Drosophila melanogaster: one gene and its partner. The protein of the gene in region 1 interacts with the protein of each later gene in a pairwise test. Each region holds a gene or a part of one and is shown on either strand. Other genes may lie near its edges.

What was found.
Region 2: the proteins of Ufm1 (region 1) and Ufsp1 interact in binary tests that used the Drosophila melanogaster proteins (3 or more experiments, as listed by UniProt).

What each region holds. Positions count from the first base shown.
Region 1 is NT_033778.4:16,948,289-16,954,699, reverse strand, and holds Ufm1 (Ubiquitin-fold modifier 1), read right to left. Parts: upstream 2,864-6,411; 5' UTR 2,647-2,863; intron 2,549-2,646; 5' UTR 2,463-2,548; coding exon 2,199-2,462; 3' UTR 2,119-2,198; downstream 1-2,118. Other genes in the region: mute (muscle wasted), read left to right, coding at 1-45, 111-441, 496-1,564, 1,625-2,096, 2,950-3,958, 4,026-4,159, 4,220-4,548, 4,610-5,984. UniProt on the Drosophila melanogaster protein: Ubiquitin-like modifier which can be covalently attached via an isopeptide bond to substrate proteins as a monomer or a lysine-linked polymer.
Region 2 is NT_033778.4:6,971,659-6,978,227, forward strand, and holds Ufsp1 (UFM1 specific peptidase 1), read right to left. Parts: upstream 3,476-6,569; 5' UTR 3,212-3,475; coding exon 2,633-3,211; intron 2,571-2,632; coding exon 2,445-2,570; 3' UTR 2,380-2,444; downstream 1-2,379. Other genes in the region: Cyp6u1 (cytochrome P450 6u1), read right to left, coding at 647-1,071, 1,130-2,171; vimar (visceral mesodermal armadillo-repeats), read right to left, coding at 4,895-5,499, 5,558-5,944, 6,034-6,569. UniProt on the Drosophila melanogaster protein: Thiol protease which recognizes and hydrolyzes the peptide bond at the C-terminal Gly of UFM1, a ubiquitin-like modifier protein bound to a number of target proteins.

The DNA of each region.
Region 1 (6,411 bases):
GATGAGGAGGACGAGGAGTATACCTTCAAGGAGGAGGACTTTCATGTGAGTATAAACATTGAGGCCAATTGATCGTTGTTCAATAATTGTTATTATTCCTTTATTATCAGTCCGATGATGATCCTAACACTACAGCATCGGATTTCGACTCCAATCCCTGCACGCCTCAAACTCCTCTTACTGCCAATGAGGAATCTCCTATCAAATTCTCTGATGACGGTTGTTTCAAGGTGCCGTTGGACAGAAATTTTCAGGATAAAGAGGATCTTAGGATTGCCACTAGAACGCGCTCCAAATTTTGTTTGCAGCAAACTACCATTGAGGATTTGCAGTCGGAATTTGTCCCGCCGGACGTGGAGCCTAGCGATGTGGTGGAGAACGAAATGACCGCCAACGATGCGGATTGGATGCAGTTCCTCAATGACTTTACAAAGCCTTTAAGTATGTAGTATCAATGGATGCTTTTATGCTCTCCCTAACTTTAATATCTTACAGACAATACGGTCCAGGGCGACGATGATGATCCTATTAACGATCCAGAATATGTGGCCGCTGATCACTTGGAATCGGAATATGAGAACGCCGAGGAGCTGCGCGATGTAAATATATCTAAAAAAGAGTTAACTGACCTGGTCTCTGAGCTGTTTGCTGGTTTGCTGGAAGAAGGAGTCTCTCTGGAATCGATTGAATTGGAAACACCTCAAAAATTCGTTGAAAGTGCCAACGTTTCGATGATTCCCATTGATCAAGTGTCCCGTAACATCGATTTTGATGGCCAGCAGATAAATGCTAATCAGCAGGAGCTGTCCGTTTTTCAACCTAATCTAATGCCGCCTCCTTGCGAAGGGAACGAAATGGGCATGGGTGTGCCTGTCCCTGTGGCTGTGCTGCAGGAGGAAACTGGTGGATCCGCTTGCAATGTGGTAAACATACCTTCCGAGGCGCTGACTGTTCCCCCCGAACTAATAGCTGTTCCAATACCTGGGCAACCTAATTGCTTCCAAATCGCCAAAGTTGTAGGCAATGATTCAACTGTTGGTCTTCCATTAACTGAAGAGACACTGCAGAACTTTTCTAGCTTGCATCCAATGGAACCCCCCGTGGTAGCTGCAAGCAATGGAGATCGATATAAAAAACCATTTGATACGAACTTCACCTGGGAATACATCTCGGTTAGGAAACATATATATTCGGAGTATGAGGAAAAGTTTGAGAGCCTGCGAAACGTAGAGCCAGTAAACCTCAATCATCTCGCCAGGAGCAGGGGATTTACCCAGTCTCAGCATGATATGCTTCAGCAGCAGCTTCGCATTCACACGCAGTTGCTCAGTCAAAGCTATCTGCAAACCTACTCCCATCCTACGTTGTACCCCATGGCCAAGAAGCCCAGAGAAATGTTGGAAGAATTGCACAAAATGGCAACTAAAGATCCCAGTTTTAATTGCTGGAATCTGCAGGAGGCTGTTCAGCTGGTTAGAAAATGGGAACATGATCTGTCCAGTGATGAGTTTAAGGAGGAGAACGAGAAGATGATGGACTTCATCAATAAGGAAACGGATCTGACGTAAGTTGGTGAAACTTTAAACAAAACATGCTGCTGTACAACTTGTATTTACTATTTTAGTGATGGCCACACGCGCCAGGTTCCCAGGCTGGCGCCTCGTATTATGGATCTCATGCTGGATAGCCGGGTGTTTATGTATCCGCAGTACCTACCCCGTATGGCGTTTCAACCGAAACTGACTCAAACCACCGCTTACGCACCATCCGAATATCAGCTTATTGCCATTGGCCTAGAGAAGCACTTGGCATTAATGGTAAAAGCCAAGAGACAACTACGCAAAGGTGCAGATCCCATTCGCGTTGCCTGTAAGCGAATGATTAAGGATACGATTTGTGGAAAGACTGCCCGCCGAATTTTCTTGAAAATCGCGGAGCTACGCAACTCAAAACAGTACAATCCAGTGAAGTATTTCTTTGAACATCGTCGAGCACCGCCCGCTAACGCCATCCTTTGGGGATTCGCTGGTGGGCTGGTGAGAACTCCGCGGGAACGACACATGGAGCTTCCCAGTGGCTGGCAATACTACATTGAGGTAAGGAATACAATGGGTTATTATCGGATACATTGTTTAACATTTAATAAGCATCAAAAAGGGGGAAAATCTCAAAGGGTAAATAAGATGGGATTAGGAAAACTAGCTTAGTTGGTGGCCCACTCGATCTCTGGGTATGAGGCGCAGCTCGGATCCGTGCTTTAGGAACACATTACCAGCAGTCTGCTGTGGGCTGATGCCAATTCCATCGTCCGTGATGATGGCACTCGTCTCCGCCGGAACCTTGAACTCTTCAGAGGCGAATTTCAGCACAGCCGTAAAGGGAGTTCCCTCCGGAACACTAAGCACCTTAAAGGGCAGCTTGGGGTCCGAAGTTAGCGTGATTTTGAAGGTTACTTTGCTCATAGTGGAATGTGCAGACGTGGTCAGTTTTGATACTCTATGGGAATAAACGGGTTTCCGATGTTTTCCACAGGCAGAGTGTTTGAGCCCTGGTGGTTAAAGTTTAAACAAGTATAAATTAGTTGGTTTGAAAATAGTTTTAAGGGGTATTTTATTTAAAAACAATAAAATATGTTGACGCTCTTACTTTAGTGCGGTCAATATTACGATAGGCAAGGCAGCGAGTTATCGTCTGTGATGAGTAATATTTGCATAAATGTACCTATGTCCGTACCTAATTAGGAATACATGTTTAGAACTTTATTAATTTTTCTCTTAAATTTTAAGTAATATACTTGCTAGTGATTGTTGGCAGAATTATTTTACGAAATAAATCACTGGTCATCGGTGGCTAGGTACCATCGACCAAAGTTATCGATATCAATATACATAGCTTGTGCCATCGCTGTGTTTATAAATCGCGGACAATTTTCAATCTATTATTTTTCAGAAAACTTGGGATCAAAAGCGCACACGTCGCAATTTTAAAGCATCGAAAGCATCGTCGGTGGCTAGTGCTTCTTATTTGGAGTTTGTACGCGAGGCGGTCGGCGAGGACCTGCTGCTGCCAGAGACTTTTGGTCAGGCTGCGGTCCCCAATGGCAGTGCTGCTGGTTCGGAACCGCCCAAGGAGAGCAAACCGAAGAAAAGGCCAGCGCAAAGGAGACCCCGCCCTGCGGAAAACCCACCACAGCTTACCATCAATGTGAATTATGTTTTTGGCGGGAATACGAGCGCGGGAAACATACCCGGGGTCTCTGGGGTTTCGGTGCCCTTGGTGGCCGGCGGAAATCTGGCCGAGAACGTACTGAACATCAATCGCAGCTTATACACCGCCGCCGAGTGCAGTAGTCTGCTGGCCTTGCCGCCTGCTCCTCCACCATTGGATGAAAATGCTCCGCCAGCCATCAACTTCACAGTAGACAAGTTCACTAACACACTACAAATCTGCGAATTGGAGGAATCCAGCAAGGCCGTACAGCCGGATCTGTTGCCTGCGCAGGATACCCCTTCCGTCCCAGGCAGAAACGCCAAAAGGGCGCGATACCAAATCTTTAAGCCAAAGGTTCAATCCGCCAATAAATCGCGAAAAGGGTCAACACCAACCCGCAGTCGATACCATATATTGCGCGAACGTTTGCGCCATAAACTAAGCCAGCGCTGTCATTCCCTAATCACCACCTATGAATCCTACCTGCGTCATCACATCGAAAAATATAAAGACTGCGAGTTGGTACAGGTCGTGCACAATCGTTTTTTCGCCCTCGAACTGTACACTCAACTTCTGGTCGATCTGAGGATGTTCTGCAGCAATACAAACTCTAAAACGGCAGCGCAGCCAAAGAGATCTAGGAGTGATGATGAGGCGGCGAAGCTGAGAAGAGCCAACCGGCAGGAGGAGATGCTTCGCCAAATGCTCCAGCCGGATACTACAGAAGAGCGCAATCGCAAAGATGCCAGTAAGTTTTAGTTCAATCCCATTTAATGAAATTCAACTTGAATAATTTTATTATTTTGCACGTTCAGTTTTTGCCATGAATTTTTATGAAAAGGTAGAGGAGGCCTTGCTGAGTGCCAATCGCCTAGATGATTGCAAAAAATTCAACAGTATTTTGCAAAACTTCGACCCCAGGCAGGAGAAAGTTTCATCTTTGTATTTGGTATGTATCACTTAAGTGTCTTACTCTTATTGCATTCTAATTTTTTTTTGGGGTTCTTAGAAAGTGGAAGAAATTTTGCTACCCACTCATCCCGAACTGGCTGAAGTATTCCTCAACTTTTTGCTACCTGCCGAGGCCGCTGAGATGGGAAAATTCTTTGAGCACTTTATGATATGCAATGCTACCAACTTTATCAACAAACTTAACATTTACTTCAGTAAGCAGCCAGCTCAAATCAGGAAGATTTATGCCTGTCTAAACGAGTTGGCCGAAATGCCTAATGTCAGCATGAAAAAAGTTGAAAATAAGATAATGCCCTTGCTCAAGGGCAATCAATTTCTGATCGATTGGTTTGTGCAACAATTCCCACAGGGAAAACCACCAAAAAGGTAAGAATGGTAAACAAAATACTCGAGATTGATTTAATGTAACATTGTCTTTTATTTCCAGAATCCTTTCTCCTGTAGAGACCATAAATTTGCATGACGTTCAAAACAATACAACGGGAGAATATACGGAAACTATTCAAGAGTTTACAGATGTACCTACGCCAAGTAAACCAGGTTGTCACTTAAAGTATATCAATGGTCGCATATTTTATGGAGCCAAGATCCTATTGCCTGCCAAACTGTCTTTTATGGCTGCCAGTATTTACAATGAACAATCTCATGACGTGCCACCCGTCTCCAGTGACTCGATAAACTGCGCCCATGGTATTCGTGCCCAGGGAGAAAAACTTCTTAGTATGGCTTCCAATACAGATAGCGACGATGGCGCGGATCGGAGTGAGGAAGATGATGCCAGCCGCGCCTTGATTATTGATACCACGAGTGATGAGCAGAACAGCTGCTCATCTATTGAGATGTGCGATGAGACAGGCTTAAGAGCACATGCAATCAGATTGAATCCCGGCTTGTATACCAACTCAAGCTTTAACAATGCAGCGACCAGTACGCCCAATCTGGGCAACTCTCACCAATCCCATCATCCGCACGCCAAAAAAACTGCCATAAACTTTGGTGAAATATCCCCACGCAAGCAATCGGCATTTAACAACTCGGGATTGAGTCCCTTATCGGCGGCCCCCAACAGTTCCCCTCAAGTCGACAAACGAAAGTCACCTACTAAGAAGATCCGATCTCCTCTTAATCAAACTCAGAGCAGACAACGTGCCAATAATCAGCCAATGGTTGTTATCCATGAGTCTCAGCCTTCATCTTCGCCAGCCATTGAGTGTGCAAAGCGCTTGCGCACGCTGATCGATCAGGAGAGCGTGCGGGATGCAGCAGATACAAAGGCGGGCATTCGAATTATTGCGCAAGCCAAGCAGCAACCTCCAAACCAATGCAGCTCTGAAGCTATTACGAAAGTCGAGGTAGTCAGCCTGGATGAAAGTGCCGAGAATATGCCTTTCTGTACAAATCTCAAAATGGACACAGATCAATCGGAGGAGGAGCTGGAGCCACTGCAATTAAGTGCTGGCAACACACCACAGCACGTGATCACAACACAATTCGATAGCGATGAGGACTGCAAGCTGGATGTTGTGGCCACGCTGGCGAACTGCACCACCACCGAAGATAGATCGGAATCGGCAGCGGCATTACCTGCCACCACATCGCACTCTGAGTCTGGTAGTTCCCACTCGGCACCTTGGACTCGTGAAGAGGACAAAGTAATCCTGATCGAAATGAAAATAGGGGCACGGGATCGAGAGCAGCTCATTCGGCGTATGCGCGCCAAGCTAAAGAATCGCAGTATAGAAGAACTACGTAGTAGGCATCAGTTTCTTATGGACTTTCTGTCCAAATTGCAGGGAAAGTGAGGTTTCTCTAAGATGGTCTTTTGTGTATTATAATCCAAGCTGAAATAGGATACTAATAATAACTGTATATAAACGAAATGGTTTACCCCATACCTACAAACCAAACTTTTTGAAGGGAATTCTTTGTTGTACTGATTACCTATTTAAGCATACAAAAATTCCCTTCAGAATACTTAGTTTTATTATTAAAAATTTGAATATTTTGAAATCTACTGTACGTTGAAATTGACTATTAATAGATATATTGAAACCATGAATTTAATATTTTTGTGTCCGTCTAAGTTTACTTTTCTATATGATAAGAAGGTCGCATTGTTTGAATTTGATTATTCTATTCTATAGTTTTGGTTAACGAGCACATTGTTTTCCATTGTCTTAAAGATTGTAAATATATAAAAATATAACATTTTTTAAAATCTCTAAAATG
Region 2 (6,569 bases), about 10 Mb from region 1:
AATACACCTCTGTAGTGTGACCACGTCTAGGAAAAATCACTTGGCAGCGAGGTCACATTCGCTGTTAACCGTTCTGCGAATCGGGAATGTTACCTATCATGCAAACTTTTAAAATTGAAAATATGGTTATTTTTGGCGCGTTCGATGTTCCAGTTGACATAAAAGTCAATTGAATAAAAAACCAAAAATTTTGTTATAAAAATTTGAAGAGAATAACTCATGTTTTAGAGTAGAGTTCCTAGGAAACGGAAGTGCCGAAGACATTAACTAAGCACTCGGGCTAAATGAGTGTTAATTTGGAAAACCATGAATTCTATAGATTGAAAACAAATTATATAAATTTAACGTCGTTTACTTTAAATAATGGCCTCTGCATTTGCTGCAAATTCACCTTTTATGCATAGAATTCTTTTTAAGAGTCCTATTTTCCGATGGTATGAAAGTGTTCGATATAACAACTAAATTATTTATTTGTTCACGTTGTTGAGCTTGGTGCAAAAGATTATAAAAGTCATCGTCAGCATTATCACACAAGTCCACAGCTTAGGAAAATCAACGAAAAAGGTGCATATACAAATATAAAAACAACTTAAACGCTTTGTAAAGCAAACAATACAAAATATGCGATGCTCCAGCAGAGCCTCCTTTAAAGCTTGTCCACCCGTTCCACACTGAGTTTGATGTCCGACTTGGGCATCAAGAGCAGTCTCCGGTTGTCGTACTCCACGGGAATCGAGGTCTCCGCAGAGGGAGCGTATCTGTGCTGCCTCAGCAGAGCCACCAGGCCCACCAGAAGCTGCTGCTCTGCAAAGCGAGCGGCAATGCATCCTCGCAGGCCATCGCCGAAAGGCAGGAACGCAGCTGCCGGGCGGGATCGCCTTGCCTGTTCCTCAAAGCGCTCCGGGTAGAACCGCTGGGGGTTTTCATAAATGCCAGGATCCATGTGTATCGCCGCCGTTGGTATCAGCACATTGTTGCCTTTGGCAATTACAAACACCGATCCGGGCACTTCGAATTCTTTGGTAGCCCGGCGTAGCAGGAAGGGATGTGGAGTGTGCAGGCGAAGCGTTTCTAAAAAAAAGGTGAAGTCATTGGAGCTATAAAGAGCTTTTCAATATTTGGTACTCACCATTGAGGACTTGCTTCGTATACCTGAGCTCCCTTAGGCACTCCGGTGTCACTTGGCCACCATGCTCCTCCAGTGCCTTGTTAATCTCGAGCCTGGTTCGATCTTGCACCTCAGGCTGGCGGGCCAACTCGTAGAGGCAGAATGCTAGGGTGGCATTCAGGGGGCCCAAGCCAGCCAGAACGAAGCCGAAGGCTTGGCCCGCAATCTCGATGTCGGTGAGCGGCTTTTCTGCGTTGGAATATAGCTGCAGAAAGGTCTGGAGTGGCTGGCGATCCCTTCTTCGATGCAACTGCAACTGCGACAGGGCCACTTTTTGGAAGTAAGCTGTAGCAGGTTCTGCGTAGCTTTTGTACTGAAGAAGGCGAGCGATGAGCGGAAACTCAAGCGCCAGATAAGCCTGCCACATCCTAAAGTCCGCCCAGTAGTTGCGCGTCCACTTAGCGAACTCCACGTTATCCTGCCCTACTAGTCCAAAGGCCATTGACGCCATAACGTCCGTATTGTATGCACCCACGAGTTCGCTTATATTGATAGTTTGAAGGCTCTTTTCGCCCAGGTCCCTTTGAATTCTGGAGGAGATTTGCGACAGTCTGACCAGCAGCTTCTGCATGTTGGCCGGAGTGAAAACCTCTGCAGATTTGGCGTGCAGTGACCGCCACTTGTGACCGTCCAGCTGAAGGAGATTATGCGACAGCGGCTCTCCACTGGGATTACTATAAAGGCCTCGGGACGTAAAGTGTCCCGCGTCGGTGAAGATTATTTGGTGGACTAGCTTCAGGTCCAGCGCCAAGATGAACGGCTTGAGGCAGGCGTAGAATCCCACAAACGGCGCCCTGCCCTTGTATGCGGTGTAGATATCCTGCAAGGCGTCCTGGGCATGCCTCTTCCCGCTCACCACGCCCTTAATGTTGCCCCACAGGAACTTGGGCTTTTCGTGCAGGATCCCCCGCCGTTTCCAGTAGCCCAGACTGAACTTGACCAGGGCGTAGACCACTGACAGCGCACCCAGGGCGGTGAGCAGGGTGCGGTGCATTAGATCCATGCTCACTCAGCTGTCTTTTCCGGCTTTTACAATATGTTCGCGCTGTTTGATATGCTTAACAGCTGGCAGTAGCTGCTTGTCGAGGTTCTGGGGCTCAATGCCGCCGGTTTATCAGCGCCATTATCGTGCGGTCCGATTTAATAATTGATAAGGTCCATTGAGTATCGGCCGCTAAAATGGAAGAGAAACGTGGCTATAAGGCAACTTTCAGTAAGTAATAGTAATCAAGAGCTGAGCGGGATTTATTGCTAAAATAGGTACGGAGAGTTGCGACTACGGCTGCAAGATGAGGCAGAGGTTGTACGTGCTGCCGGCGAACTCGTCAACGGGCACCCAACGAACGTAGCCCAGATCGATTAAGTGCTGCCGGGAGCTGGGCACGCCTACGAAATGCGGATCCTAAAAAGGGAAGCGAGCGATTAGTTCACCAGTTCATAAAATGAGCTAATTCGCTGACTCACCACCACCTGCAGGAAGATGCGACCGCGTGCACTGCAATGGTAGCCGGTAATAGCCTTGGAGGCGGTGTCACTCAGACCGCCCATGGCGACGAAGCCTTGGTACTTCTCAAAATAGCTCCGAAGCTCGCCGAGGATCTCGTCCGAGCTAAGCTCCTTGGCGTGAAGAATCTTGCACGGCACCTGGTGCAGCACATCGATCACGTAGAACTCCTCGAGCGTTCCGATCCAGTCGCGCGAGCCCACGAACTCTGGACCCTTGTCGCCGATGGCCACCAGGATCTGCTGAATCTCCCGGATGGAAGGAACATGACCGCTCGACCCCTGTCGACGTTGGATCCAGGAAATGGCCGATTGCAGGGTGCGGTAGCCACAACCCCAGCCAGCATCCTGGTGGCCATCGCATCCGTAGTGGAAGTAGTTAAAGCCACCGCGGGTAACTAGCGTCCGCCCGCCTTCAGTGGGCGTGGTCAGCGCGCCTTGCGGATCCTCTAGAAGTGGATATGCATAGTCCTTTGGTACAATTTTCAAGGACGCCGCGGAGGAGTCCCCAAACTCTTCTGCACACTTTTCCGCCGCCATAGGAATTGTTTTCGAAACTGAGTAATTTGATAGCCTAGGCCTGATTCACCTGCTCCTTTTCTTTTTTGTTTATTTACCTTGGGCAGCCGTAATTTGTTTTGTGAAAGTGAAATCGCAGCAAAGAAATTGGAATGTTTTTTTTTTTGCTCTGGCTAGAGATGGTACAAGCTGAATCGTCATGCACCAATGACAAAGTCAGCCAAAATAAAATAACAATAATGCGGAAAATAAAATTAACGAATATAAGAATGAGTCATGATGAAAGGCTATTCCGCCCAAAATTTTGATAAAATTTATATTTTTATATTAAGCAATGTTGTCATAATTGTTTTACTACAATTATCCATCACCAACTCTCTCATCGAATTATCGATAACAGCCCGTTTGTAGCGCCTAAATTTAAACGCATCTATTTGGTTTTCTCTTATTTCTCATGCATTTCAAATTTTATTTGAATTATTAAATGTACATTATTGTGTTTAGAGTTCATAAATATGTTTTCGCATTTATGTGTGTGGGTGTCTCAACGCTTTATATATTAACACCATTCCCCTTGAATTGTGTTCGTTTAATTTTTAGTTTTTGGTGACCAAACATTAGTACATCGTTTTTAATAATTGGTAAAATTTGTAGCACTCCATAAACTACGATTTGTAAAATTGAAATATTTGCATTATTGGTTTTCAACTATTTTCGGATTGCTGATTGTTACTGAGTTGCAGTTTTGTTAATGTTTTAAAGTTAGCTTAAAAATGCATTTTGGATAACTTCGCCGAGTTTTACAATAAATATATGGGATGCCGTTTGCAATATGTGTCTGTGCACCAATTAAAATACCTTAATTACGTCGTGCGTCTAAATGTTTTGTTATCTTCTCGTTTTTGGTTTGTGCCAGCAACGGTTTAAAAGAGGTCGATTGAAAATTATAAGTACAATCATAAAATACATTTATTAAATATATTTAGCGATATCACCACGATTTGTTGTTATTGTGCTCTTAAAAATCATGTAACAGAAAAGATTAATATGCTAAATTATTAATATTATTATATTTATACGTATATGTTATGTATGTATGCTATAAATATTCATACGATTTGTGACTCCTTACTACATCGGATTCTCTTCATAAATGCAGTCAAAATACGCTTGCGTCTAAAAAATACTTTCTGCTCCTCTCGTGTTCGCGTGTTCCAGTGTGCTTAACTGATTAACTGCTTAACTTGTGAATCTGCACTTTCTTCTTACCAAACTACAGTCAAGTCTACATCTGAATCGTTGCTTTGGGGTGAAAACTACTATTTTCTCCGGTTCTGAGTGTGTCTGTGTGGCTAAGGGTGGGCTGATTTTTTTTAAAACATGCTCTAATAGTGGCAAACATTTATCTTTGGCTATTTGGAATCGTGCAACGTCAGTGAATCTCAAGAGAGTGGATTTAATTACAATTTAACAAAATTGTTATTAAGTAGTAAAGTGGAGTTTAGCACATTAGCGCAACGTATTAATCTTTGTATCGTTACGAATAAGTATTGGCGTTTCTCTTGGTAAGACCACACAGATAACTTCCAAAGATAACTGCTTACCCCTAAAGTATTTATGTTATGTTCAATCGTGCAAATCGACCCATCCCACTGTGAGGCATCCTGCGGTGCTGGGATAAATGCAATGACAGTCCCCGTTTTCTTACAAGGTGCAGTATTCGGTGAGAATGGGTATAGACTTCAGCAGCTCGTTGATGTTATGCTGTTCCAGATGCGCCACCAGCTGCTCGGAAGATTTGAGCAAGTTCACGCAGTTCTGCAGGTTCTCGACAATCTCCTTGGTCATCGTGTCCGACGACTTGCTGATGAGCTCGGCCAACTTCTTGCCGACCTCGCACTTGACCAGCTCGTCCTGCAGCAGCTGGGCCTGCGCCGCCTCGCTGGGCTGCGACAGGTACACCACGGACAGGATGCACAGGGCAATCAGCGCCTCGTTCTGCATGACCAGGTGCTGAGCTGTGAGCATGCTGACCATGGCCTCCACGGTGCCCTCGTTGGCAAGGAACTCGCTCAAGCTACTGCGATCGTAGTCTTGCGTTAGCGGAATCTTGTCGGCAATCTGTTCGGCGGGTGCATCGCCCTTGCGCGGCAGTGCGTATGCGATTTTGCTGAGGTAGGCGTGCTTGATCAGCCAGGCCATGAGGCGCAGAGACTCGCCGGTGACGCCCGCATAGTCCGACGATTTGCTCCAGTGCACCAGCTGCTCGATCAGAGTCTTGTTCTTCAGCAACTCCAGTGCGAGTTTCTCTGGAAAAGCAGATGTTGTTAGAGATGCGGATCGCGTGCGGTTGTTGCCACTACTCACCCTGTCCGTCGACGGTCATGCGAAGTGTGCCCAGCAGCTTGAAGACGACTGGTGGCTGGTGTATTTCGAGCATGGGAAGAATGGTCTGCACCAGGCCCGCCTGGATTACCGCGTTCTTGTTTGGCTTCGGGATGACCAGGTTGCGCAGCGCGGAGAGAAGAGCGTGCTGCAGGCGCACATCGTCCTTGACGCCGTTGTTCTTGGCCAGCACCTCGAGCAGCTTGTTCATGGTCTGCTGCTCCACAAAGTAGATGCAGTGGCTATCGGTGCGCGCAAAGTTGCCCAGGGCCAGCACGCCGGTGGTTAGCAGATCGATGTCCGTCGAGTCCAGCCAATCGACCATGTTCTTCAGCAGCGGCGTGGTGTACAAATAGTGCATTGAGTCATCTAGAACAATAGTACAATAATTAGTTTTGAAATGGAACAAGTTGAAGAATTTGTCGACAACATTCTAATTCATATGATCCGAAACTTACCACCAGTAAGGATTAATACGATGAGTTCGCAGGCGAGTTTCATCAACGCCCTGGCCTCACTTGTGCTGGCCAGAGTCTTGTACTTTTCCAGCAGGTTGTAGATGGTTTCGCACAGACCGTCCTTGGCCAAAATAAGCTTGACTTCGTCGCTCTCCGCCTGGTAATGGAGCAGCTCCAGGCACATCTCGGCAAGATCGGGATTCGTGGAAGCGGCCAGAATGCGAGACAGCTGGATATTCAGGGAAGAGTCGAAGTTCAGATCCGACACGTTCTCGGTGAGTATACTGAGCAGTGGAAGCGTGTTCAGCAGCAGATCCTCATGCTGTTCCACATTGGAGGCGCCAATGTCGATGATGCCTTGCAGCTTCTTCATCACGCCCAACTCCATGGCCCGCTTGGCCAAGCCCTCGCCTCCGAGCAAATAGTTGGACAGCAAGCCGCCGCGCACTTTGATGAATTGCGCCGCATTGGCCACGTCCTCGATGGTTGTGATGTCCAGCAGTCGCAGTAGAACAGCATCGCCCTCCAGCTCGAGT